Macaca mulatta: one gene and its partners. The protein of the gene in region 3 purifies or fractionates together with the protein of the main gene of each other region. This does not show direct contact. Links are inferred from orthologs where the notes say so. Each region holds a gene or a part of one and is shown on either strand. Other genes may lie near its edges. The genes, in order: SMURF2, SMAD7 and TGFBR2.

Region 1 (7,592 bases), on a different chromosome or scaffold from region 3:
TTAGAGGCCAGGTACGGTGGCTTACACCTGTAATCTGAGCACTTTGGAAGGCCAGAGTGGGTGGATCATTTGAGGTCAGGAATCCCAGACCAGCCTGGCCAATGTGGTGAAACCCTGTTTCTACTAATATAAAAATCAGCCGGGCGTGGTTGCGGGTGCCTGTAGTCCCAGCTACTTGGGAGGCTGAGGCAGGAGAATCACTTGAACCCAGGAGGTGGAGGTTGCAGTGAGCCTAGATCATGCCACTGCTCTCCAGCCTGGGCGATTCTGTCTCAAAAAAAAAAAAAAAAAAAAGATACAATTTCTCCTAGGTGTTTTAGTTATTTTCTCAATGATCTTGTCTATCAAATGCTTTCTTGCAAGCTTAGTGTAAAACCAACTGAGAGTAGGCTCTTACCCAAATTAATTTCAATATGGTAGATTAATGAGGTTTTACTTAACTAAATCAGTAACTACTAAGTTAAGGAATAAATATATATTGGAAGAATGTACATATAAGTCATGAAATCTGTTTAAAATAAGAAAGTACAGGATAGAAAAATAAATTTTAAATGTTCACAATATAAGAGAGATTGCTCAAGCCGGGCATGGTGGCTCAAGCCTATAATCCTAGCACTTTGGGAGGCCAAGGCAGGCAGATCACTTGAGCTCAGGAGTTTGAGATCAGCCTGGGAAACATGGCAAAACCTTGTCTCTACCAAAAAAAAAAAAAAAAAAAAAAACAAGAAAATTAGCCAGGCGTGCTGGTGCATGCTTGTAGTCCCAGCTACTTGGGGGGCTGAGGTGGAAGGATCATTTGAGCCCACGAGGCCAAGGCTGCAGTGAGCCATGACTGCACCACTGCACCCCAGCCTGGGTGACGGAGTGAGACCCTGTCTCAGAAAAAATGAGGGGAGAGGGGAGAGGGGAGAGGGGAGAGGGGAGAGGGGAGAGGGGAGAGGGGAGAGGGGAGAGGGGAGAGGGGAGAGGGGAGAGGGGAGAGGGGAGAGGGGAGAGGGGAGAGGGGAGAGGGGAGAGGAGAGAGGGGAGAGAGGAGAGGAGAGGAGAGGAGAGGAGAGGAGAGGAGAGGAGAGGAGAGGAGAGGAGAGGAGAGGAGAGGAGAGGAGAGGAGAGGAGAGGAGAGGAGAGGAGAGACTGTTCACTCACAGAAATTCCAAAGGATGAAAGGCCTTCAAAAGCATGAAAGACTTTTCCTGTGAATAAGAATTCTCAAGCATAGAACCATGAAACTTAGAAAGTACCAGAAATATGACTTTCCTATAAAATTAAGTAACAAAATAATTCCCAATCCTTTCTTGTTATACTAGTGATGTTATACTACTAATGCACTAACCTCTAACTCCTTCTCATCAAATGTCTTCAGCAAATGTTGTGGAATTACTTCATTAAATCCTTTCTGCAGAGCCAGGAATTGAGCCTCAATGCCTCGTAAAAATCTCCAGTTCACATAGAGCCTGTAAACATTAGGCAGGATTGGGTATAATCACATATATTTTCAGATCTGGTAATTATTATAAATCTCTACTTTAGCAACATTGCATTTTACAAGCATCTAACATTAATAATTTAGCCTAAAGTCTAAAAATAAATCTCAGACTAATGGGGATAAATGATCCCTGAGGTGTGACACAGTTCAGTGTTGATGAAAAGTGGTAAACTTCTACTAACAGCAGCAGCATCAGCAGAGCAACCCTTCGAATCAGAGAAGCTCCCAGGAAACAGGACGTCTACTTGAGTCTTGATGAAATTTCTTTCTAAACTTACAGCATACATGCCAATAACTAGAATAAAGAGCTCTTTCACTCAAAAATGACTATTTTTTCTGATTTTACTTGTAAATGTAATTTGAATGTGTTGGGTGTTTTGTTTCTATTTGAGGGAGGTCTGTGGGAGAAGAGGAGGTAGATAATCCTCAAACCAAAAATGAGAAGAAACAGTAAAAGCCAATAGCAAGTGCTTTTTGATTAAATAATCATTGTTCTCTAGAGGATATAAAAATTCTGGAAGATGTAATTTTACCAATAAAAAATGCACTAAACTACATCTACTGTGTGACTGTATGATTTATAAGTGAATTGCTTTTATTTATCTACCTACCCAAGAAGACCTCTCCATCTCACACATCACAGAACTTACTCATCTGTCAAATTTGTTACCATTTCCAAATCTGGAGAAATGGTTCTCCACTTCAAGAGAGAAGTTACTTAACAACACATCCTTTGGAGGACCATATTTCTGTTTGCTGGGCTAAGGGGACAGAAAAACTGTACAACTGTAAAAATTTTTCTTTGTAATTTTTAATCTCAAAACTGTAGCTGGCAAGGCATTAGTACCGTGTGCTGTAAACACGACTGAACCCTGGAGAGTGGGATCCAGGGACTGAGTAGGACACACGAGGTCTTGAAAAGGAGATACTGCTAAGACTTAGGAAATTCTCATTTGTTCTTTCTTTTTTTATTATTTTAAATTTATATTAGATAGAGTTTCGCTCTGTCGCCCAGGCTGGAGTGCAGTGGTGTGATCTCAGCTTACTGCAACCTCCACCTCCCAGGTTCAAGTGGTTCTCCTGCCTCAGCCTTCAAAGCAGCTAGGATTACAGGTGCCTGCCAACACACTTGGCTAATTTTTGTATTTTTAGTAGAGACAAGGTTTCACCATGTTAGCTAGGCTGGTCTCAAACTCTTGACCTCAGCTGATCCACCCACTCTGGCCTCCCAAAATGCTGGGATTACAGGCATGAGCCACCACACCCAGCCTGTTCTTTCATTTTTTAAAGTAGAAATGTAATACATACTTTTTATGCATGTAACAAAAAAACAAACATTAACTATGGAGACAGTAAAATATGAAAGTCCATTCTTTTACCCTCTTTCTCCTCCCTATTTCCAGTCCCATCACCTCCACTCCCTCATCCTAGGCAAAAACTTTATTTGACTGCAGCCTCCTGAACATCTTCAGTATAATTATAAAAAAAAAAAAAAAAAACCAGCCAGGCACGGTGGCTTACGCTGTAATCCCAACACTTTGGGAGGCCAAGGCAAGCAGATCATGAGGTCAGGAGTTTGAGAACAGCATGGTCAATATGGTGAAACCCCATCTCTGCCAATAATACAAAAATTCGCCGGGTGTGGTGGTGCGCACCTGTACTCCCAGCTACTCGGGAGGCTGAGGCAGGAGAATCACTTGAACCTGGGAGGCAGAGGTTGCAGTGAGCCAAGATTGTGCCACTGCACTCCAGCCTGGGCAACAGAGTGAGACTCTGTCTCAAAGAAAAACAAAAGAAAACAAAAAACAAAACAAAACAAAAAAACATAGACTTTGTTCCTACATAATTCTTGTAAGATTTAGTTTTAAAATATGACAGCTTATGTAGTCTTTCTTTTAAATATCCACATAATATTCTGTTGAATGTATAATATAATCATTCTTCTCTAAAAAGATTTTAGTAGTGTAATTTTTACAAGTAGTATTTAATTGACCATCCTTTCCTGTACTTCTTCAATTACATGTGTGTTTCTGCAGAAGAGTCCTAAACACAGAGCTGCTAAAGGGCATGTACTGCTGGTATCAAACCGCTTTCCAGAAAAGCTATGCCAGTGTTCACTCCAATCAAGTGGACCTCATTTTTAAACTAGGAACAATGTTAGTAAGATTTGAGAACATGATCTATACAAAAAAAGTATAGCATGCAAGTTTCTGTGTACATACAGTAAAGTTCAAGTTCAAACTTCCAAAGCTGATTACCACAGTTTTGTTTGGTAGACTTTTTATTTCTCATAAGCCAAATTAGCCCAATACATAAAAATTCCTCAAATTTACTTTATGAAATCTGAAAAACATTTATTTACATTTATCCCTAAACTCACAATGTGCTTGTTTATAAACAGGCTAAATGTTAGTAATATACAGCACAAAAGCCCTTCTGAATTGCCACCTGTGATAGCTACACCACACATGGCCCCATTGCCCACATCTCCTGGTATTCACACCTTTGTACAGCTCCTCTTCCATGATGAAACTGGGCTGGCTGTCTCAGTTTAACCAGAACTAGACAGAAGTCATGTTGGCCAGGACCAGGCTTAGGCCTTAAAAAGATCTACAGCTTCTGCTTTTGAGCTTTGGAAAGCTGGCCACCCCATAAGAAGTCTATCAATACAGTGGGTAACATGATTAACCTTCATTACAATGAAGGGACAAACTTTTCAGGGAGAAAGAGTGGCTATGGGGAGAGGGAGTGGTCATGGAGAGAGGGAATGGCCTTTGATATCACAGAGGGAGAACCAAGGAACTCAGCCAACAATGAGAACTAGGACCCAGCCAGTGACCCCAGTCGACAGCCATGCCAGCTAGCCCTCGGCCATTTGAGTTATCCTAGTTATGAGTGAAGAGGCCATCTTGGTGTTGCAGGCCTAGCTGACATCTTGTGGAACAGCAGTGTGTCATCCATGTTGTTCTTTTGCCCAATTTCCTGACCCTTGGAATTGTGAGAAATAATAAAATGGCTGTTCTTAATAAGCCACTAAATTCTGCTGAAGCGGATTTTGTAACACTAAGTAATACTATCTAAATATTTAAGTTTGTTCATACTAACATCCTAGAACATTTTAAAAAAATTCAGCCTTGAGAACACAGGAGTGTTTACCTGACATATTCTTTTTTATTTTCTTCATTAACAGGGATACTTTTGCCATTTGGTTTAAGTTCATGCTGAATAATTTCACCATATGCATTATGTTCAACACAGAAGGTATGGTCCAAAACACCTGTAATATCATTCTCACTGGAAAGGAAAGAGGAAGAGATAGGTAACTGGGAAACCTAAAATACAGACCCTATAGATGTATTAACTGGTGAGATAAAACTAAGATCATTTTATAATATGACAAATGTGAGGTCAGATTCAGCTTATGAACTCTTAAACTACCACACTACCTAGTTCTTTCTGGACAGAAAAGTCAAAGAGCTTTAACCTGCATAAACACAGGAAACATTTAACTTCCTGAGTGATGAGAAAGAGCCCTGGTCAAAGCTGGGACTTGCTAGAACCACCAATATAGGACAATTTCAGTTATATTTGGCATTCTGAAGAGCGCTACTCGGTACTGTACTCCAAGGGGCCAAGTGCCTGTGTATCCCTAGTTGAGAAAGCCACTGTATACTTTATAAAAAATAAACATTTCCAGTGTATCTTCATAAAAATAACGACCTCTTGCAAAACAGAATCAGTTCTTAGCTTAAATTCAACAATTAGTTCTTATCTAAAAGTATGGTTCCAACAATCGCCACTTCATTAAAAGCAATGGCAGCAAGAATTTGCTATTCTAACACATGCAGGTTTGGAACAGAATTTACATCACATTGAGGAAATAATCATATAAAGTACTTTTAAAAATAGAATATACTAGTTTTTTTTTTTCTTTTTAAAGTAGTAACACTTGCTAAGTTTAAGGAATTTGAAATATATAAAGAAGCTACAGAAAGGGGGAAATCATATGAGATCCTATCACTCAACCACTCAATATTTTCTGTGTAATTTTTTTTAAGTACATCGGTTTTGAAACTTTTTTTTAAAAGCTCAAGAGTTTAACTATAATGAAGAGACAGAAGACTCAATACATACAGTATCCACACTAAACTGTTATGAAGATCTGGATCTACTAACTCCATGTCATCCAAAGTAATCGACTTCCCAAGCAATTGCTTATAAAAAGGCAAAGTGAAACCACCATCAATATAATGTCCATGAAACACAGCCATTCCCATTATTCGTCCAACAAAGTGGAAATAGGATAAATGTTCCTGAAATTGAAAAGAGTGTATATACTCAAGTTAGAAACTACCCAGGAAAATTTTAATAAAAATGAAATATTTCAGCAACATTAATTTTTTTGAGAATAAGCATAAAATTTGTACTCTTCAATATAGTCAGGAGGGAGTATTTCTCTAGGGCATGCTCAGGAGTCTCTAGATCACTCCGGAACAGCATATTACACAGGGTAATACGCCCTTCTCACAGGGGTCAGTCATTCTGTAAATTTTATCTTTTAGAAAGATAAAATTTATCTTTTAGAAAGTCCAAACTATGGTCCCAGAGCTTCATTCAACTACTTGCAGATTCTTTTCTCTTCCTTCTCTCACTTCCGTGCTGAGCCCTTTGTCATGAAAAAAAATCTTTCAATTCTAAATCTCCCCGCCTCCTTGACCTAACCAGAAATTAAACATCAAAACACCATAGATTTAAGAGCACAGACTTGGTGTCAGGCTTGAATTAGAATCATGATTCTGCTAGTCACTGGCGTATGGACAAATTAACCCCTGTAGGACTGTCCACATCTGGAAATATGAGGATAATAACAGTATCTAAAAAGCATCTCTATGAGGAGTAAAATGAGGTGATGTTTGAAACCCATGGAACTGGACCTGGCATGCTGTAAGCCCTCAATGAATGTGGGCTATTGTTACTACAGGGGCAGCAGTGCGCCCTCCAAAAAGAACCTTCACCTCAAAATCCTCCCTAAATAATTTCCTGAAACAAATCTAACATTTCTACCCTTTTATATATATTTCGTCTTTCATCACAGATTATTTTGTTAGATGTTTGTATTTTTAAATTCTTTTTTTTTTTTTTTTGAGACAGAGTCTCGCTCTGTCACCCAGGCCGGAGTGCAGTGGCGCGATCTCGGCTCACTGCAAGCTCCGCCTCCCGGGTTCACGCCATTCTCCTGCCTCAGCCTCCCGAGTAGCTGGGACTACAGGCGCCCACCACCATGCCTGGCTAATTTTTTTTTGTATTTTTTTTTTTTTGTAAGTAGAGAAGGGGTTTCACTGTGTTAGCCAGGATGGTCTCAATCTCCTGACCTCGTGATCTGCCCGTCTCGGCCTCCCAAAGTGCTGGGATTATAGGCTTGAGCCACCGCGCCCAGCCAAAACTAAGTAATCTTTTAAGTTCGTCTTTAAACCTCTTTGTTTCTTTTTTAAAAGTAATAAAACACACACACACACACACACACACACACATATATATTTACCAAAGTTGCATTATACTATTTGATAACCTTCTTTTCCCTTAACACATCATAAACACCAAATTTCCAAATCATTAACTATTATCCCACATGATCATTTTAGTGGCTGTATAGTGTGCCCTTCTATGGAAAGACAATATAAGAACAATACATTAGTAATAACTGCTGACTTCTGTTGAGTGCTTAATAATGTAATTGATAAGAGTTGTACAGTTAATAACATACAGCACTGTGCTAAATGCTTAATGTGCCAGTCCCCATTTAATTCTCATAACCCCTCTTTGAGGTACACATTTATTTATTAGCAATGACAAAACTGAAGCTTAAGTCCATGAACTTGCCCTGAAAGGTCACAAAGCTAGAAACTGATGAGACCACGACATGTCTTTCTAATTCCAGAACCTATGCCTTTAATCATTTGTGTGATTCTGCTTCATGTCATAATTTAATCAATCCCCACTCTTGAAGACAACTATATTGTTCTCAGTTGAGTGCTACTATAAACAATAAACATCCCTGTTTCCAAATTGGTGCATGTATCTGTAATCATCTGCTTGGGAAAATTTT
Region 2 (8,136 bases), on a different chromosome or scaffold from region 3:
GAGGTTTCTTTTCTACGGTTTTGGAGGTTTCATTTACCCCTGCTGGTCTTTATCCCTGGGGCTAAGGTCACTGTTCTCTCTCTTTTAAGGAAAACCTCCAAATTTGAAGAATATGGAAGGACAAACAAAAACAGGTCAGAGGTGGCCCCTTGGAAAACTAACTTCATAAAATAATTCTGGATTCTTTAAGCCAAAACCCAGTCAAGTTACAGTCTTTAGGAAAACAAAGCTTGGTAATTCCAGTTAATGTTTGTTACAAATACAGAGAGCTGGGTATCTCCTCATTAATAACCATTTATCTGGTGTTTTGTAAATCGAAAGCAAAATATCACATGCTTTGCGGGCCACTTATTAGACCGGCACCAGGCAAGCAGGAACGCCTTCCCAACTTGAGGGAGCTGGTAGAGTCCCAGGAGGACTGGCTGCAGAGTATGGGCTTCGGTTACACATTCATTAAAGTATTTAATTTATGACAACGCCCCAGCAAAACTTTTAATTAGTGAGGGGAAAGGCCCAACAGCCAAAATGCAGAAGGCGGAAGGACTTGCAGAATTCCAGGAGCTAAATGGTGCCCAACTCTTCACTTTTCCTTCTCCCAGAACCTTGGCAAAATAAAAATGTCCCAAGTATTAATGTTTTTTCAGGCACCAGTATACAAGAACAAAAACCAAGGTTACACACGGCCTGTACTTGTAGCAAACAGATCTATCTCCTACTGTAAGAAGGAGCTCCAGGAATTGAGGTTTGTCCTTGTTGTCACCCCAAAGTTCATTTTGCTGACCCCGTCCCCAGCACTGTGATGTCCAGGGATGGACTCCTGTGCTACTGCCGGCCAGAAGTTGAATGCAGACAACCACAACAGGGCTGGTGCCAGTCTCAAATGGGCTTCTGCCCTGGCTCCATGCCAGTCAGTGACAAAGCAACAGACAGGCAGAGCTGTGCTCAAAACTTTGACGGCCCCTATGGAGAATACTGAGAAAACCCCGGGAGAGGACTGACTTGCAGGTGACTGGGGCAGGGGGAACCTACCCTCCTTTCACTGCCTATACTTCTGAAACGTTCCAGTGTCTACTCTAGACCAAAGTCTTCTTTGAACCTTTTTAAACCGCCTTCCCATCTATCTAATCACGCTTTCCATTATTGCCGTTGATGCTCCTGGCACTCACGAAGTCTCCAAGTTTTCCCCATCAACCAGTCCTATTTGGTTCCCAAGACACTTCTTTCTGGACTAAAGCTTCCACGTATCAAAGCTGAGCCCACCGGCTACAGAGCGCAAATACAGGAAAAAGGAACAAAATGTAAAGCATATCAAGGGAACATCTTTGCAAAAACACAAAACAAAAACCCAGTCACAACAGAAAAATTCACCAAACTTCCAACAGAGGAAACCTAGAACCAAAGTGAAGTGAAGCAAGTCCAGCACCTCTCCAAGCCTTTGCCTACACACAAAAAGCCAGGTTCTAGAGGCTCTATTTCTAACTTAAGATAGGAAGGATATTTTAAAAATCATCTACTCACCAGTTGGTTTGAGAAAATCCATCGGGTATCTGGAGTAAGGAGGGGGGGGAGACTCTGAAATTAAAAAAGCAAGAGAAAATAAAGGCCCAGCCATGAGAAGAGAGATAGAAACTTATGATAACAGAAGCATTCTTTTAGCCCAACTGTTTGTCTTAGCTGTGGGGGTTGGAGGCAGGGCCGCGAGGCGGTGATTGCCTTGATATTTAGCTGTCAGATAAACAAAAGAGGCCGCCTGGCGCCAGCCTCGGCGCTCCGCTCCTCCACGTCTGCGGCCGCCGCCGCCGCCGCGCTCGGCTGGCCCGGCTGGAAACCACCGGCTCAGCCGGAGCCGCGCACTTCACAGTTCACAGGCGGGGGGCGACCATACCCCCTCCCCGTTCTCGGACTCCAGACCCAGCTCCCAGCAACCTCGGTTCCCCGCCCTGGCCCGCCCCCCAGGGGTGCAATTCACCTCCGCCCCCGCCGGTCCGCTGGGCACCCGCGCGAGGGACACGGGGCTCCCCATTCCCAGCGCACTCGGGAGATGCAGCCCAAGCGTGCTGGTGAACTTGGGGGATCTGCGGTCGCCCGGGGTGAACCCTCACATCACACTCCGTGTACAGAGACATACAGAAAAGGAAGGAATGGAGAAAGCTGACAGGATAAAAGGGAAGAAGTTTCAGGGTCTCAGCCGAGAAGCCCTGGCCCCAGCGCAGTAAGGGGCGACAACGTCACCGAGGCGCAGGGCCCCACTAATCTATAGACTTATCTGTGCGGAAGGAAGGAAAAAGTAGGGGACACCCAACTTCTCCTGGCTGTTTGTTCCTCTGCACCCTGGGGCTGGCAGAGTTGAAATGAGACAGATACCCAGTTCGGCCTTCCATCCAACTCTCTTTGCCCCAAAACTCCAAAGCTGCGCGGCCACGACAGTGTCTGGGCCACTTGTGTTCGACGTGATTCTCCTTATTTACTGAAGGAGTAAATACGGAGACCTTCCAGCCTTTTTATAGCATGCTTCTCCCAGCCTTCCTTGGCGGGCCTGGACCAAATCCAACTCGGTCACACACCTCAACGCCTTTCCGGGTGCGGGGAGGCGTGACCCCCCCATCTCCCTCTGCACCCCCTTGTTGATCCGGAAATGAAGGCGTCTAATTTTTAACCGCAAACTGTGTGCAGGAGCAGTGCCCATAGACCCCTTCGGGGCAACACAGGAGAAATCCTGGAAGGGAAACCCCAGGGAATGCCCTTTGAGTTTCCCCGTGTCCCTTCTCTACTTTCGGCCCCCAGTCTCCTCCCAGGAGGGGATGCACACTCCCCCTGGAGGGGTGGCTGCACAAACGCACTGCCCTAAGGGCTTTTCTTCCAGCACTGGCGCGCCGGAAAATGCTGGGGGTAAGGGGACAACTTCTCACCTAGTTCGCAGAGTCGGCTAAGGTGATGGGGGTTGCAGCACACCAGCTCGGGGTTGATCTTCCCGTAAGATTCACAGCAACACAGCCTCTTGACTTCCGAGGAATGCCTGAGATCCGGCCACCTGAACACTTTGCACAGCAGGAGGGGGAGCGAGTAGGACGAGGGCGGCTGCGCAGGCTGCGCGCTGGCGGGCGCCCCCGGGCCCAGCCTGCAGTCCAGGCGGCCGGGCAGCAGGAGGCACGCGGTGCGCGTCCCGCCGCGGGACTCCACGGCCTGGAGCAGCAGCTCCAGCTGCCGCTCCTTCAGTTTCTTGAGCACCGAGTGCGTGAGCGCCTTCAGATCCGCTTCGGCGCCCCCGGCCGCGCCGGCGCCCGCGGCTGGCGGGTGGGGATGGTGGTGACCTTTGGCACCTCGCACCGCCTTGCCCAGGCAGCATCCAGCCCTGCCCGGGCCGCCGCCACCGGCCCCATGCGCTCGGCTGTCCGTCGCCCCTTCTCCCCGCAGCTCGCCGCCTCCTCCACCTCCCCCCGCGCCCTCCTCCTCGTCCTCGCCGCCGGGCGCACGGCTCCTCCAGAGACGCCGGACGAGCGCAGATCGTTTGGTCCTGAACATGCGGGGCGAGGAGGCGAGGAGAAAAGTCGTTTGGCGGCTAAGGAGCGAACATGACCTCCGCACACCATGAAGAAGTCGGGCGCCGAGTTGGGGCAGCAGGCGCAGGCGACAGCAGCAGCAGCAGGGGCCCGGGCAGGAGCGGCGGCGGCCCGAGGGGCGCTCCGTGGCATGCGCCAGTCTCCCGGAGGCCGGGGCGCGCGCGGGGGCCCGGGGGCGCCCGCCGGGGATCGGGGGCCTGCGCTCCGGCTGCCCCACCCCGCGCGGCCCGCGCCCTGCGCGGCTCTCCGGCCCCGGCGCGCCCCGGAGGAACCCGGCCGCCGCTTCCCTGGGGACGGCCGAGCCTGCCCCCGTCGGCGCCTCCCCAAAAAGAGGCCCCCCCGCAGTGGCTCCCGAATGTCGGGCTCGCCAGCCTCGGATTCCTACATGGAAGGTCCGCGGAGGCAAAAAAGCGAAAGGCGTTCGGCTGGGCTGCTGGAAGAAGGAAAAAGCCTCTTTCCCCCTTGCTAAGCAACTTAATTTGGGGGTGGGGAGAAGCAGGCAATTAAAAAAAAAAAAAGCAAGCACGCAATTTATTTTTTTTCTCTATATCCTTAGTAACCGGATCTCCTCGAATTCTGTGCACACGAAGACTCAGGGGAGGGGGCCGAGTGGACTTCACCCCGCATGAGATGTCTGGCGAAATAAGAAGGCTCTCGCAAAACCTAACAACCAAATATGCAAAGCCCCAAATGAAAAACACCACCTCCTCGAACCTCTGAGGTCTGGGGGCGTCCGGCTGGAGCTGGGGTTTAAAAAAAGAAAATGTTTACAAAGTATAACAAGATGTTTGAGGGGTGGAAAAATGTATCCACGAGTTACATCCCCCCCTTTTTTCCTTGCAAAGCCCCGCTGGTCTTCCTCTCCTTCTGCCAAAAAAAAAAAAAATCGTGTATTTTTTTAATCCACAGAAAGCTTTGGCTAGACCGCTTCAATCCTGCGCATCTGGGTGGTTTAGGGGAGTCTCTGGTCTTTCCTCCTGCGCTCCTGGGGGCCCAGGTCCTCGGCGGGGACTTCCTCGAGGCTGGCGGGGGCGCAGGGGCAGAAGATGCTGCGGCGGCGGCTGAGCCCGGCGGGGCTGACAGCGCGGGGGAGGGCGGCGCGGCGGCGGCGGCGGCGGAGGGCCCCAGGCGGGTCGCGCGTTCTCGCCCCCCCTGGGCACAAGCTGCTTGCTAGTGCGGGGGCCGCCGGTGTCCCTTCCCCTGGCCGCGGCTGCCCGCCGAGGGTCCCCGCATGGGCTGCTCGCCTGGCCCCAGCAGCGGCGGCAGGAGGCCCCGGTGTCCTCTCGGCGCCTCCTCCTCCGAGACTCTCCTCGTCGCGCCCGGGAGCCTCCTTGTCCCCGGTCCGCCCTCTCCTGGCGCTCTGGTCCTTCTGCCGCCGCCAGGGGCTCGCCGCGCCGCACTCTGGGGCTCAGGGGCCGGGCGTTCGGCGGCTCGGCGGCGGCGGACTGGCTCTGTCTCGGGCAGCTCTCTCCCGCGCGGCGAGCGGACCGAGCACGGCGCCCGGCTGGCTCGGCTGGCGCGGCTCGGGGACAAGATCTTCAGTGCGCCGAGCAGCAAGCGAGTGTGCCCAGACCTCGCCGCCTCCCGCAAGGCCTCCCGCCCCCGCCCCCGCCCCCTTCCCTCCCCCTTCCTCCCCCTTCCCTCCCCCGCCCCCAGCCGCCGCCGCCGCCGCCTCCTCCCCGCCCCCCCGCACCCCCCCTCCGGCCCTCTGCTCGGCTGGTTCCACTGCGCAGTGGCGCGCCCGGCTCCGGCCTCGTCACGTGGCCGTCTAGACACCCTGTCGCTTTAAAAAAAAAAAAAAAAAGCGATTGTGTTTCGCAAACAACAGATCGGGTTTCTAAAAGCTATTTCTCCCCCCAACCCCCCGCCACCGCCACCCCCTCCCGGGGCTGTAGATGGGGTACCGACGGAGGGGAGAGAGAGGTGGGGGGCAGAGAAGCTCCCAGAATCGATTGAGCCCCGGCGGGAGCCATGGAGAAATTGGAAAAGCAGGGAGCACCGAGCGGGCTTCGCTGCGAGTTTTGGAGCTTAGAGAGCCGGTCGGTGGCCCGATTTCGACCCGGCTGGGCTTCGCGGTGGCCATCTCGCGCGCGCTCGCTCTAGCGCTTCATTCATTGGTTTTGTTTTAAAGGCCCTGGCGGCGGATCCCTTGGCCGCGCCGGAGGGCAAGGGGAGGAGAGCGCTGTCTCGGTTTAAAAGACATTTATACGGGACTGGACCGAGGCCCCGGGAAGTGTGCGCTGAGGGGAACAGCCGCCGAGGGCGGGGAGGCGGCGTGAATATGACCTCAGCGGCGGCCGCGCGCTCCCTCCCGCCCTCTCCGCTCCGGGCTCCGGTTTCTAGGACTGCCTGGAGAAGTGTGTCTTGTGCACAGCTATGGAATGCATTTGGCCGGCTGACGAGCTGCGAGGGGCAGCCTCCTGGCGGGAGAAGGGGAGCGGGAGGCGGGGGCTCGCCTGCGCGCCGCCCGCAGGTTTCCTCCCGGGCCCGGAAGACCTCCGCCACCAGCCACCCTGCCTCCTGGCGCGGGAAGGTTACCCAGCGAGCAGACCTGCCTAGGGCATTTATTTGCATGCAGGGCCTGTTTCTGGGCCTCGTAGCTTTCAAGGTGCTTAGGGTCAGAGAGTTTATACCTTGACCCCAGGTCCCGAAGAAACATATACTCAAGCTGGCGAGTTACTGCATAGAAACGGGCATGGCATTGCTAGGGCATGAACGCATATACAGCGTGAAAGCTGATGGCTCTGAGAAACGTAATTATTTAAATACACACACATCAGTATTGATGAGGCCACTGGTTGGCATGGTGATCTAACCTCACTTCATATTCAGTGAAATACGATTTAAAAAAAAAAAAAAAAAGCCATTGAGAATTATGAGATCAGGCCCGCAGTGAAACTCATTGGGGGCTTTGAAGAATCTTTTTTCTTTTAAGAGTCTCACTCTTGACCCAGGCTAAAGTGCAGTGGCTCGATGTCGGCTTCCTGCAGCCTCTGCCTCCCCGGATCAAATGATTCTCCCACCTCAGCCTCTGGAGTAGCTGGAACTACAGGCGCTTGCCACCACACCTGGCTAATTTTTGTAATTTTTGGTAGTGACGCGGTTTCACCATGTTGGCCAGGCTGATCTGGAACTCCTGACCTCAAGTAATCTACCTGCCTCGACCTCTCAAACTGCTGGAAGTACAGGCGTGAGCCACTGCACCTGGCCTTAAAATAATCTTTAGAAAAGGTGAAATGTGCCGGGGCTTGGTGGCTCACGCTTGTAATCCCAGCATTTTGGGAGGCTGAGGCAGGTGGATCACCTGAGGTCAAGAGTTTGAGACCAGCCTGGCCAATATGGTGAAATCCCGTCTCTACTAAAAATACAAAAATTAAACAGGCAGGTGGCACGTGCCTGTAACCCCAGCTGAGACAGGAGAATTCCTTGAACCCGGGAGACGGAGGTTGCAGTGAGCCGAGATCGCACCACTGCACTCCATCCTGGGCAACAGAGTGAGACTCTGTCTCAAAAAAAAAAAAAAAAGAAAGAAAAGAAAAAAAAGAAAAAGATGAAATGTACATCTCCTCAGCTAAATTATATGTTCTTTTTTTTTTTTTTTTTTTTTTTTTGAGACGGAGTCTCGCTCTGTCACCCAGGCTGGAGTGCAGTGGCCGGATCTCAGCTCACTGCAAGCTCCGCCTCCCGGGTTCATGCCATTCTCCTGCCTCAGCCTCCCGAGTAGCTGGGACTACAGGCGCCTGCCACCTCGCCCGGCTAAGTTTTTGTATTTTTAGTAGAGACGGGGTTTCACTGTGTTAGCCAGGATGGTCTCGATCTCCTGACCTCGTGATCCGCCCGTCTCGGCCTCCCAAAGTGCTGGGATTACAGGCTTGAGCCACCGCGCCCGGCCAATTATATGTTCTTAAAAGGAAAAGGCAGGAATGAATCTTAGCCACCTTTAGAGCTCAAGCCCTCTCCCCCTCCAGCAATTAAAAAGACTTATAACATATTAATACAATAGTAGATGCTTAATAAATAATTAGAAATCAACACTTAGGGCTTAAGGGGCATTTGGACCCTTCCTCCACCCCACCAAAAGTACCTTTGGTAACATACATTCCAGAAGAAATCAGCAACATTGCTTACATGATCATCTCCAGGCAAGGAGATCCTAACACTTATTGACTTGGAAGACAGTAGGATGCCCCAAGCAGTACAGAACCCTATTGGACAGGACAGAAGCTGCCATTCTGAACATTTACTGTGTAAGGCCACATAAGCTGCAGTTGTATAACATCATAATTTTATTGTAAATTAAAATATGGCTTGTTGAAAAGGGCATGGAAACCTTGTGTGTGTGTATAAAACATTCTAAGAAGCAACCTGTGAAGACAGCAGCCGAGAAAGCACAGAAGAGAATGGAGAAAGGGTGTAATCCCAGCACTTTGGGAGGCCTATCACAATAGGCAACGGAAGACGAAAGAGACAGAAATGGGATTTTTAAGGTGTCTGGGAAATGTATCATATTTTCCCCTTAGAAAGGCTTAGAAAGAGTACCAGACTAGAGGTCAGAAAATCTGATTCCAGGCTGGGG
Region 3 (8,056 bases):
CGAACTCCTGGGCTTGAGCCCAGGAGTAATCCTCCTGTCCAGGCCTTCCAAAGTGCTGGGATTACAGGTGTGGACCACTGCACCCAGCCTGATGAATTTTTAAAATTATCAAACTGCAATATGCTGAGTTTACATCTCTATTATTTCTATTATGATGATTTTCAAAAGGCTAGCTTGCATTGGCAATGCTGAATTCTGATTCTTCTCAATTTCACAGGAGATTGAAGATTAAATCAGAAATGTTAAGGGCAAACAAAATTAAAATCAACATTAATGGTGTATGATGACAAAGACCACCAGTTAAACATTTGACCATGGATTCAAATACCTAGCCTCCAACAATGTAAAACATCTGTCTTTGTGATAATTAGGGAAAACAAAGCCTTTGGAATATATTGAACATTTATTTGCCACATTGTGTTTTGAGGAGAAAGAAAGTACATGTATGCTGTCCGGAGGAACTTGGGCAAATGTAAGGAAAAAAAAAAAAAAAAAAAAAACAAGAAGAAAGAAACCCACATACTTCTCCATTCTTAAGAAAAGGAAGTAGTGGTGACATCATTGTCGGCTAAAATGTAGTCTGTTTATATCTCAAATATTAGGTAACAATGTTTTCTCCAGAGTTATGAAGCAACTAGAATGATCAAGTACAATTTTCTTCTAAATCTTTATTGCCTGATTCATTCATTCATCCAATAAATATTTATTAAACATCGATTATGTGTTAGATGTTTGGGACACAATAGTAAGTGGAGGGAAAGATATATAATACCTGCCCTCAAGAAATTTGGAGTTGAGTGGAGGATAGGAATAGAAATTAAAGAATGACACAAATAATTATAAAGTTACAGCTGTTAAAAGAAAGGCATATGGTGCCAAGAGAACCTATAATAAAAGATCTACTCATGGAGGTCAGTGAAAGCTTGCCCATCAAAGAAGTTATCATTCAATCCACGAAGACCAGGAGTTGGCTGGGTGAAGAAGAAAAGGTCAGAGGAAGGAAGTCCATACTGGGGAAGGAAGGCTCTGTGCATAAAGAATAGGGGGATTACAGAGGCACATTCACGAAATTTGGAGAAGGCTTTCAGCAAGCAAGGAGAAGCCACGTGGACGTTTACAGCAGAGGTGGGGGCTTGAACCAGATCCACGTTCAAGGATCTGGTTTTTATCTTCTCTTTATCTCAAGAGCAGTGGGAAGCCATTAAATGATTTTAGTCAGAGAGTTGGTATAACTAGTTTTGTATTTTGAAAAACTGAATTCAGCTCTCATTTGAGAAACTGAGTGAAACAGCCCGGAATGGCCGTGGCTGAGGGTGACCGGTGGGAGACTCCTACTCAAGCCACGGCAGTGGCATGGGCTGGTGGCAGGAGAGGGAACAGGGAGAAGAAGATTTGGAACTCAATCTTCCTCCATTGATAAAGTCACTCCAGCTTTGGCAAGGCAATTAATTGATGGGAAAGAAGATGCCTAGCCCTCCTGATTTCACTGCATTTTCTCCATCTTAAACATGAGCGCTGGGAAGTGGCAGAACATCTAGAGGCAGCTCGGGTGCTAGGTGGAGCAAGAGGTAAAATTCCAGGATGAAGCAAATGAACTCTTAGAATGACAGGAGGGATTTTGGGAGCTGGGTTTGGGGGAGTGCTATTTACCTTTATTCCCTGGAGGCCCTGGCCCAAACCCTTGCCTCTGCAATCTTTCTCTCAGGTAAAGGAATTCATTAAACGAATTGCTGGAAGATCTACTGACCAGAGGGCTGTACAGAATCCTATCTTTGAGAGAGAGAAGTAGGTTGATCACATAGTTTATTATCCAATCAGGACATATCTGAAAGAGAAAAGGGGTTCTATTAATATTTAAACTACAAAACATGTACACCAGGAGTGTCTTGGGCAAATCTGGTTGCCCTAGCAAGAAAGGAAATTTGAAAGTTTATACTGTTCTGCTCCCATGTTACCCCTTTTTCACATGAAAGGCTAAGCATTCTCTTCACCTGCATTAAGGGAATAAAAGCGCAAGCATTCAGGTGACTCCCAAGCCACTTTTAATTTTACAGTTTCTGCTATACTCTATACATTCTGAAAATTACATTTTCCACCATTATCACTTCGTGATAGGTGATCATTTACAATTACTCACTGACTCAGTCCCCGGAAGAGGCGGTGCGAAATGGGAGGCTCTATCCAGGTGCTCATAAAAATGCAGAATCTCCGCCTGCCTCCTAGACCTACTGAATTAGAATCTGCATTTTTTAACAAGATTCCCAGGTGATCAATAAGTACATTAAAACTTGAGAAAAACTTCTAGACTTCGACCTAAAGAAAAAACATTTTACCACTTGACAGTGTATGCACACACATACATGCATAAAGACACAACCGAAGCACAAGTTTAATGAAGTAAAATTTACCGTTACTATTTTATTTGGGACAGAAATGTGCTCACGACTCAATAGATTTGAGTATTCACTCCTGGATCTCAACGTGTAATTTGAAAACGCATCTCTAAAGCACCTAGGAGCAATCTGAAGAAAGCTGAGGGGAGGCGGCAGATGTTCTGATCTACCAGAGAAAACGTGGACGTTTTCTGTTGTTACTTTGTGAACTGCGTGCACTTAGTCACTCTTGAGTAAATACGTGAAGCGAGGAACTCCTGAGTGGTGTGGGAGGGCGGTGAGGGGCAGCTGAAAGTCGGCCAAAGCGCTCGGAGGGGCTGGTCTAGGAAACATGATTGGCAGCTACGAGAGAGCTAGGGGCTGGACGTCGAGGAGAGGGAGAAGGCTCTCGGGCGGAGAGAGGTCCTGCCCAGCTGTTGGCGAGGAGTTTCCTGTTTCCCCCGCAGCGCTGAGTTGAAGTTGAGTGAGTCACTCGCGCGCACGGAGCGACGACACCCCCGCGCGTGCACCCGCTCGGGACAGGAGCCGGCCTCCTGTGCAGCTTCCCTCGGCCGCCGGGGGCCTCCCCGCGCCTCGCCGGCCTCCAGGCCCCCTTCTGGCTGGCGAGCGGGCGCCACATCTGGCCCGCACATCTGCGCGACCGGCCCGGCGCGGGGTCCGGAGAGGGCGCGGCGCGGAGGCGCAGCCAGGGGTCCGGGAAGGCGCCGTCCGCTGCGCTCGGGGCTCGGTCTATGACGAGCAGCGGGGTCTGCCATGGGTCGGGGGCTGCTCAGGGGCCTGTGGCCGCTGCACATCGTCCTGTGGACGCGTATCGCCAGCACGATCCCACCGCACGTTCAGAAGTCGGGTGAGTGGTCCCCAGCCTGGGCTCGGCGGGGCGCCGGGGGTCTTCCTGGGGTCCCCGCCTCTCCGCTGCGCTTGACAGTCGGGCCCGGCAACCCGGCGCCCGGGCGGAAACGAGGAAAGTTTCCTCCGCGGCACTCTAGCAGCCCGACTCCCGTAGCTGCAGGGATGTGTGAGTTTTTCTTGAAAAAAAGATGGAAAGTTCACTTGCAAGGGGCGCGGGGCACGTTTGGTCCCCTTTGTGCGAGCAGGAAAGGCGTTGTGTTGGCCGCGTTCGAGGCGAGCCCCCACCCCCGGAAAGGGAAGTTTGAGAAGTTGGTTATCTGAAGGCGGCCGGGGAGCAGCGGCCCGGGGCGGCAGCCTGAGCTGCCAAAGCAGCCAGCACACCTGGGCCACTCAGCCCGTGGCAATGCCGCGTGCCCACCCAGCTCTTTCTGAGCCACCCGTTCAAAAGGCCAGCTCCTCAGTCCTTAGCTCCTGGACACGGCCACGCTTTCCCTCAGGCCGGCTTCTTGGCCCGGAGGTTTTGGATACAAGTTTCAAGAAAATAAGCGATTTCCAAAAGAAAGTTAGCTGGCTCCACTGACGCCTTGGCATGGATGGGAAGGGAGTGGAGATGCTCAGGTGAAACCGAGAATTCCTCACTGAATGCCCACTGGGTGCTAGGGGCTGTAGATTTTGCCTGGAACAAGACAGTCCTGTCTTCAGGGAGTTGATAGTTCTATGCAATTATCGTTTGTTGGAAACCGAAGGGTTAAAATTCTACCTAGGCTACCCACCTGATCGCTGTGTCTGAAGGTTTTTAAGGAAAAAAAATATATGTTTATATGTATGTGTGTGTCTGTGTGTGTGTGTGTGTGTATATATATATATATATATATGCATGCAGGAATGGGGGTTCTTAATGATTTGTTATGGAAAGTGTAAACACCTGAGACTTCAAAAGTTAGATTTTTTTTTTTTTTTTTTTTTTTTTTTTTTTTTTTTTTTTTGAGACGGAGTCTCATTCTGTCACCAGGCTGGAGTGCAGTGGCGCAATCTCGGCTCACTGCAACCTTTGCCTCATGGGTTCAAGTGATTCTCCTGCCTCAGCCTCCCGAGCAGTTGGGATTACAAGCACCCGCCACCACGCCCAGCTAATTTTTGTGTTTTTAGTAGATACAGGGTTTCACCATATCGGTCAGGATGGTCTCGATCTCTTGACCTCGTAATCCGCCCACCTTGGCCTCCCAAAGTGCTGGGATTATAGGCATGAGCCACCGCGCCCGGCCAAAAGTTAGACTTTTTGCAGCTGTGATCCAAATAACAGTATCTGCAGCTGTGGTCTGGGTAACCGAGTATTTGGGCAAGTCACAGAGCTTTTTCTGGGCCTTAGTTTCCTCATCTGTAAAATGGCAAGGTTGAATCTGGGTAATTTTACATCATCTTCGTGTTTAACATCTTACGTGCCGTGGCCCTCCCCTCCTTTCCCCTAGCTCTTCTGGTAACTTGGAGATGACCCATGTAGGCTCTGGATGAAATGTAGAGGAGTTGGCAGTCCACATCACCCTGACGCACTCTTTTTATTTATCCAGGGACATGGGCAGATTTACCTTTTGGTTTGTCTAGAAAAAACGCGCATCATGGTCAGTTGTAAATTTCAGAGTATTTGAAGTGGATTGGGAACTTTTTAAAAATTATGGCATACATTGAAGGTGGCATGGAGATGGAAGCTTTTAATCTAATTAGGAAGATGCACTATTGCAAGCAAAAAGTCTTAACACACTTTTGAGTCCTATGGTTTTAATAAAATCTTAGTGTTTCGTTCTTGGCGTTTTTCCTGCATTGCAGTACCAGAATGTTCAGTTGTCTCTCATTTTCCTCCAGACTCTTAAACCTAAGTTGTATTTTGCTAATAAATATTTAAAATGGCACCCTTAATTTTCTGTGGATGTTAAAAATCATTAAAACTTTTGTTCCAGATTATAGAAGAAGGAAATTAGCAGGCCCTGATGTTGTTAGGTTCTGTTTACAAGGATAAGATTTATGATTTGCAAATTCCAGACCCAATAGTTCATGAGTCACTTTCATTTCATCAATATACACACTTTTAAACAATTAGCATAAAAGCGTGGTGGCTTTTTGAGTATTTAGACAGTTTAACAAGGCCCACAGATTTCCTATTTTTATAGAATTGAAGTTTCAAAATGGTTGAATTAATGAATATTTTGAATTTGTATTCATTTGATTCAAATTAAATTTTCAAAGTTGGCCAAAGGTTGAAGATAGATATATTGAAGATGAGAAACCTAATTCTACTTACATTTTAATTTTTCATGTAAGTAAATGGTTTCAGAATTTTTCTAACATAACTGGTAAACTGAAAACATTTTTTCAAAATATCTTGATGCAAGATAATATATGAGGGAATGAGATTGTTTAATAAACAACAAGCTCCTTTTACGTCACATAGAAAAGCCCCAAAATCTGTCTTCTGTTTAGTAGCTTCTGTATTTCTGTTTAGTAGTATGTAAAGGATTTAAATATAAGAACAAATTTCACTAAGAAATAGAAAGTTTTTTTTCCCTTGTTTTTGACTTAGTACATTCACTCTTCCTAAATGATCAAAATTAAGAAATGACTCTTTGGGGGAAAACTGTAAAGTGTACAATAGCTCTTCAGGTCTGAAAAATATGACTTTTCAGATTCCTAAAAGTAGATTCTTATTGAGGACAAAGAATTTGTAACAGTGTCGTAGGGATACAGGTTCTTCAGATCTCTTTAATAACCTGCTTATTTTGTCAGGGTAAGAGACTAGACATCATTAGGCCCCAAATCTTATCTTTGGTCTACTTGTGCTTTTTTTTTGCCCTCATAAAAATACGTTTTTACCTTTAGGCCACTCCCTTTAACAACATCTTATTTTTAATGAGTTATGTTTTATACAAAATACTAATCACATTTTGAGCTCGTGCCTTCTTTGCAATGTAGCAATCCCTAATGATGACTCTCGTCTGTGTAGTCAATGTAACTACTACATGTTTTCTACTCAGTTATGAACATGACTTTTTAATTTTTTCAGTAAGGTTAGTTTTTAATTCTGGATCTCATTGATATCATTGCAAAAAGTGGGCATTTTTTTCTTCTACCTTTTCAACCATATTTATTGAGTATCTCTTGCCAGGCAGGACGCTCCGACCTGGGACACCATCCATAAGACAGACCTGGTCTTTGCCTTCATTGAATTTAAGCTAGGAGCATGTTATATGTAAAGAAAAGGATACATGTTTTAACTCTTTATATTTGAAAGCATTATGGAATACTGGTGTTTTATTTTCTATACCTCATTTTCAAAAGCCTCATTTTTTGTTGTTGTATGCACTAGGAGGATGTGCATGTTGAATGTTTCCTTCTAGGTCCCATTGAATGTATTTTGAATCTCACTTTCCTATCCCTGCCTTATCACAGAGCCCCCGTTGGGCAGCCTTTAATTGCCTTCTCCATTCCATAGGCAGCATGATGGACCCAGTGCATTCATTTAGTGTTCTCTTTGAGGATAGGCTGGTGGTAGAAGAGTGTAGGGTATAAGCTTTGGAATCAGGCCGTCCTGGGTTCCAAACCCACTTCCCGTTTACTGGCTGTGTAGCCTGTTGTAGTTACTTTACCTACTGGTCATCCCTGGTCTCATTTGTAAAGTGAGGATTATGGAGTTATGGTGAGGATTAAATAAAATATTGTTTTAAAGTATTTAACATGGTGCCTGCAACACAGTAAATGCTCAGTAAATATCAGCTTCTGTTATTACTGTTAACTCCTTAATTGGTCTTACAAAGGGCCTCCGACGTGGTTCCCATTTGACTCTGCTGCTTCACATCCCACCACAGCCCACACTTTCCCAGTCTGTTGGTGTCACTACACATACACATGATGTGAGCAATTTAGGCAGCTGTGCCTTTGTTCAGGATGTCTGGAACTGCTGCTACCCGGCTAATTTTCACTCATCTTTTAAGACGTAGTTCAAGTGTCATCTTCTTGAGGAAAACCTGCATTGAATGCCCCAGTTTGAGGTGAATATCTCCTATGAGATACGGACCTCTCACTTAGATGGTAACGATACCAAGCCGAAGTCATATCTTTTCGTAACTCTCTTGCCCCATTAGACCTTTAATCCTCTCAATCCTATTCAGTTCTCTATCTCCGGGGTCTCTAGCAGTGCCTGACACATCATTTAGCACCCAGGAAGTGCTGAGCTGAGCCTCCACTTCATCCTACTGCATCTAGTGCAACTGAGGTCGAGCATTTAACTAAGCAGTGACTTGTTTGTTAGGTGTTTGGTCCGAATAGTAAAATCTTTACTTTCAGTTCAAATAGTTTTAGTTCTGATCACAATAAGCAATTTGACTCTTTTTGAAGTATGGAATTGCTTCTTGTATTCTCATGAAATATGGAAAAAGATGTTTCAACTTCTGACAAACATGATGGAAAGCTGCTAGAAGTTTTCATGCAATTCTTCTAGCCATAAATTTTGAACTAGTGTAGGGCCTTGAAAGCCACTGCAAAACTTTAAATAAAGTCACCAGAGAAATTATCCAGTAGGTACTGATACCTCTTTTTTTTTTTTTTCTAGAAGGGTGTTGGAAAGAGAATTTTATTAGGAATGAAGTGCTAAAATCTAAATTTAGTTTTTAAGTTTCTTTTTTCATCGGGTTTTATGTTTTGGTTTGTAAGGGTAAAGCGGCGTTGGTTGAAGGGAAGTGTGGTCCTGTAGCCACCACTGCCTACCCCAGAGTAGCGTGGATATTATTTAGGTCTGATGCAGACTACCAAAGCAGTTTTAAATA

What was found.
Region 1: the proteins of TGFBR2 (region 3) and SMURF2 purify together in Homo sapiens (affinity purification with western blotting; 3 studies listed by BioGRID). This does not show direct contact. The link is inferred for Macaca mulatta from reciprocal best matches to the Homo sapiens genes TGFBR2 and SMURF2.
Region 2: the proteins of TGFBR2 (region 3) and SMAD7 purify together in Homo sapiens (affinity purification with western blotting; 3 studies listed by BioGRID). This does not show direct contact. The link is inferred for Macaca mulatta from reciprocal best matches to the Homo sapiens genes TGFBR2 and SMAD7.

The regions. Positions count from the first base shown.
Region 1 is NC_133421.1:74,451,859-74,459,450, forward strand, and holds part of SMURF2 (E3 ubiquitin-protein ligase SMURF2), read right to left. Parts: intron 5,800-7,592; coding exon 5,621-5,799; intron 4,781-5,620; coding exon 4,643-4,780; intron 1,455-4,642; coding exon 1,334-1,454; intron 735-1,333; exon of another isoform or gene 1-734. UniProt on the Homo sapiens protein: E3 ubiquitin-protein ligase which accepts ubiquitin from an E2 ubiquitin-conjugating enzyme in the form of a thioester and then directly transfers the ubiquitin to targeted substrates.
Region 2 is NC_133423.1:43,375,414-43,383,549, reverse strand, and holds the start of SMAD7 (mothers against decapentaplegic homolog 7), read right to left. Parts: upstream 5,126-8,136; 5' UTR 3,523-5,125; coding exon 2,910-3,522; intron 2,543-2,909; exon of another isoform or gene 2,365-2,542; intron 1,573-2,364; coding exon 1,519-1,572; intron 1-1,518. UniProt on the Homo sapiens protein: Antagonist of signaling by TGF-beta (transforming growth factor) type 1 receptor superfamily members; has been shown to inhibit TGF-beta (Transforming growth factor) and activin signaling by associating with their receptors thus preventing SMAD2 access.
Region 3 is NC_133407.1:17,937,451-17,945,506, reverse strand, and holds the start of TGFBR2 (TGF-beta receptor type-2 precursor), read left to right. Parts: upstream 1-2,999; 5' UTR 3,000-3,146; coding exon 3,147-3,240; intron 3,241-3,841; exon of another isoform or gene 3,842-3,860; intron 3,861-8,056. UniProt on the Homo sapiens protein: Transmembrane serine/threonine kinase forming with the TGF-beta type I serine/threonine kinase receptor, TGFBR1, the non-promiscuous receptor for the TGF-beta cytokines TGFB1, TGFB2 and TGFB3.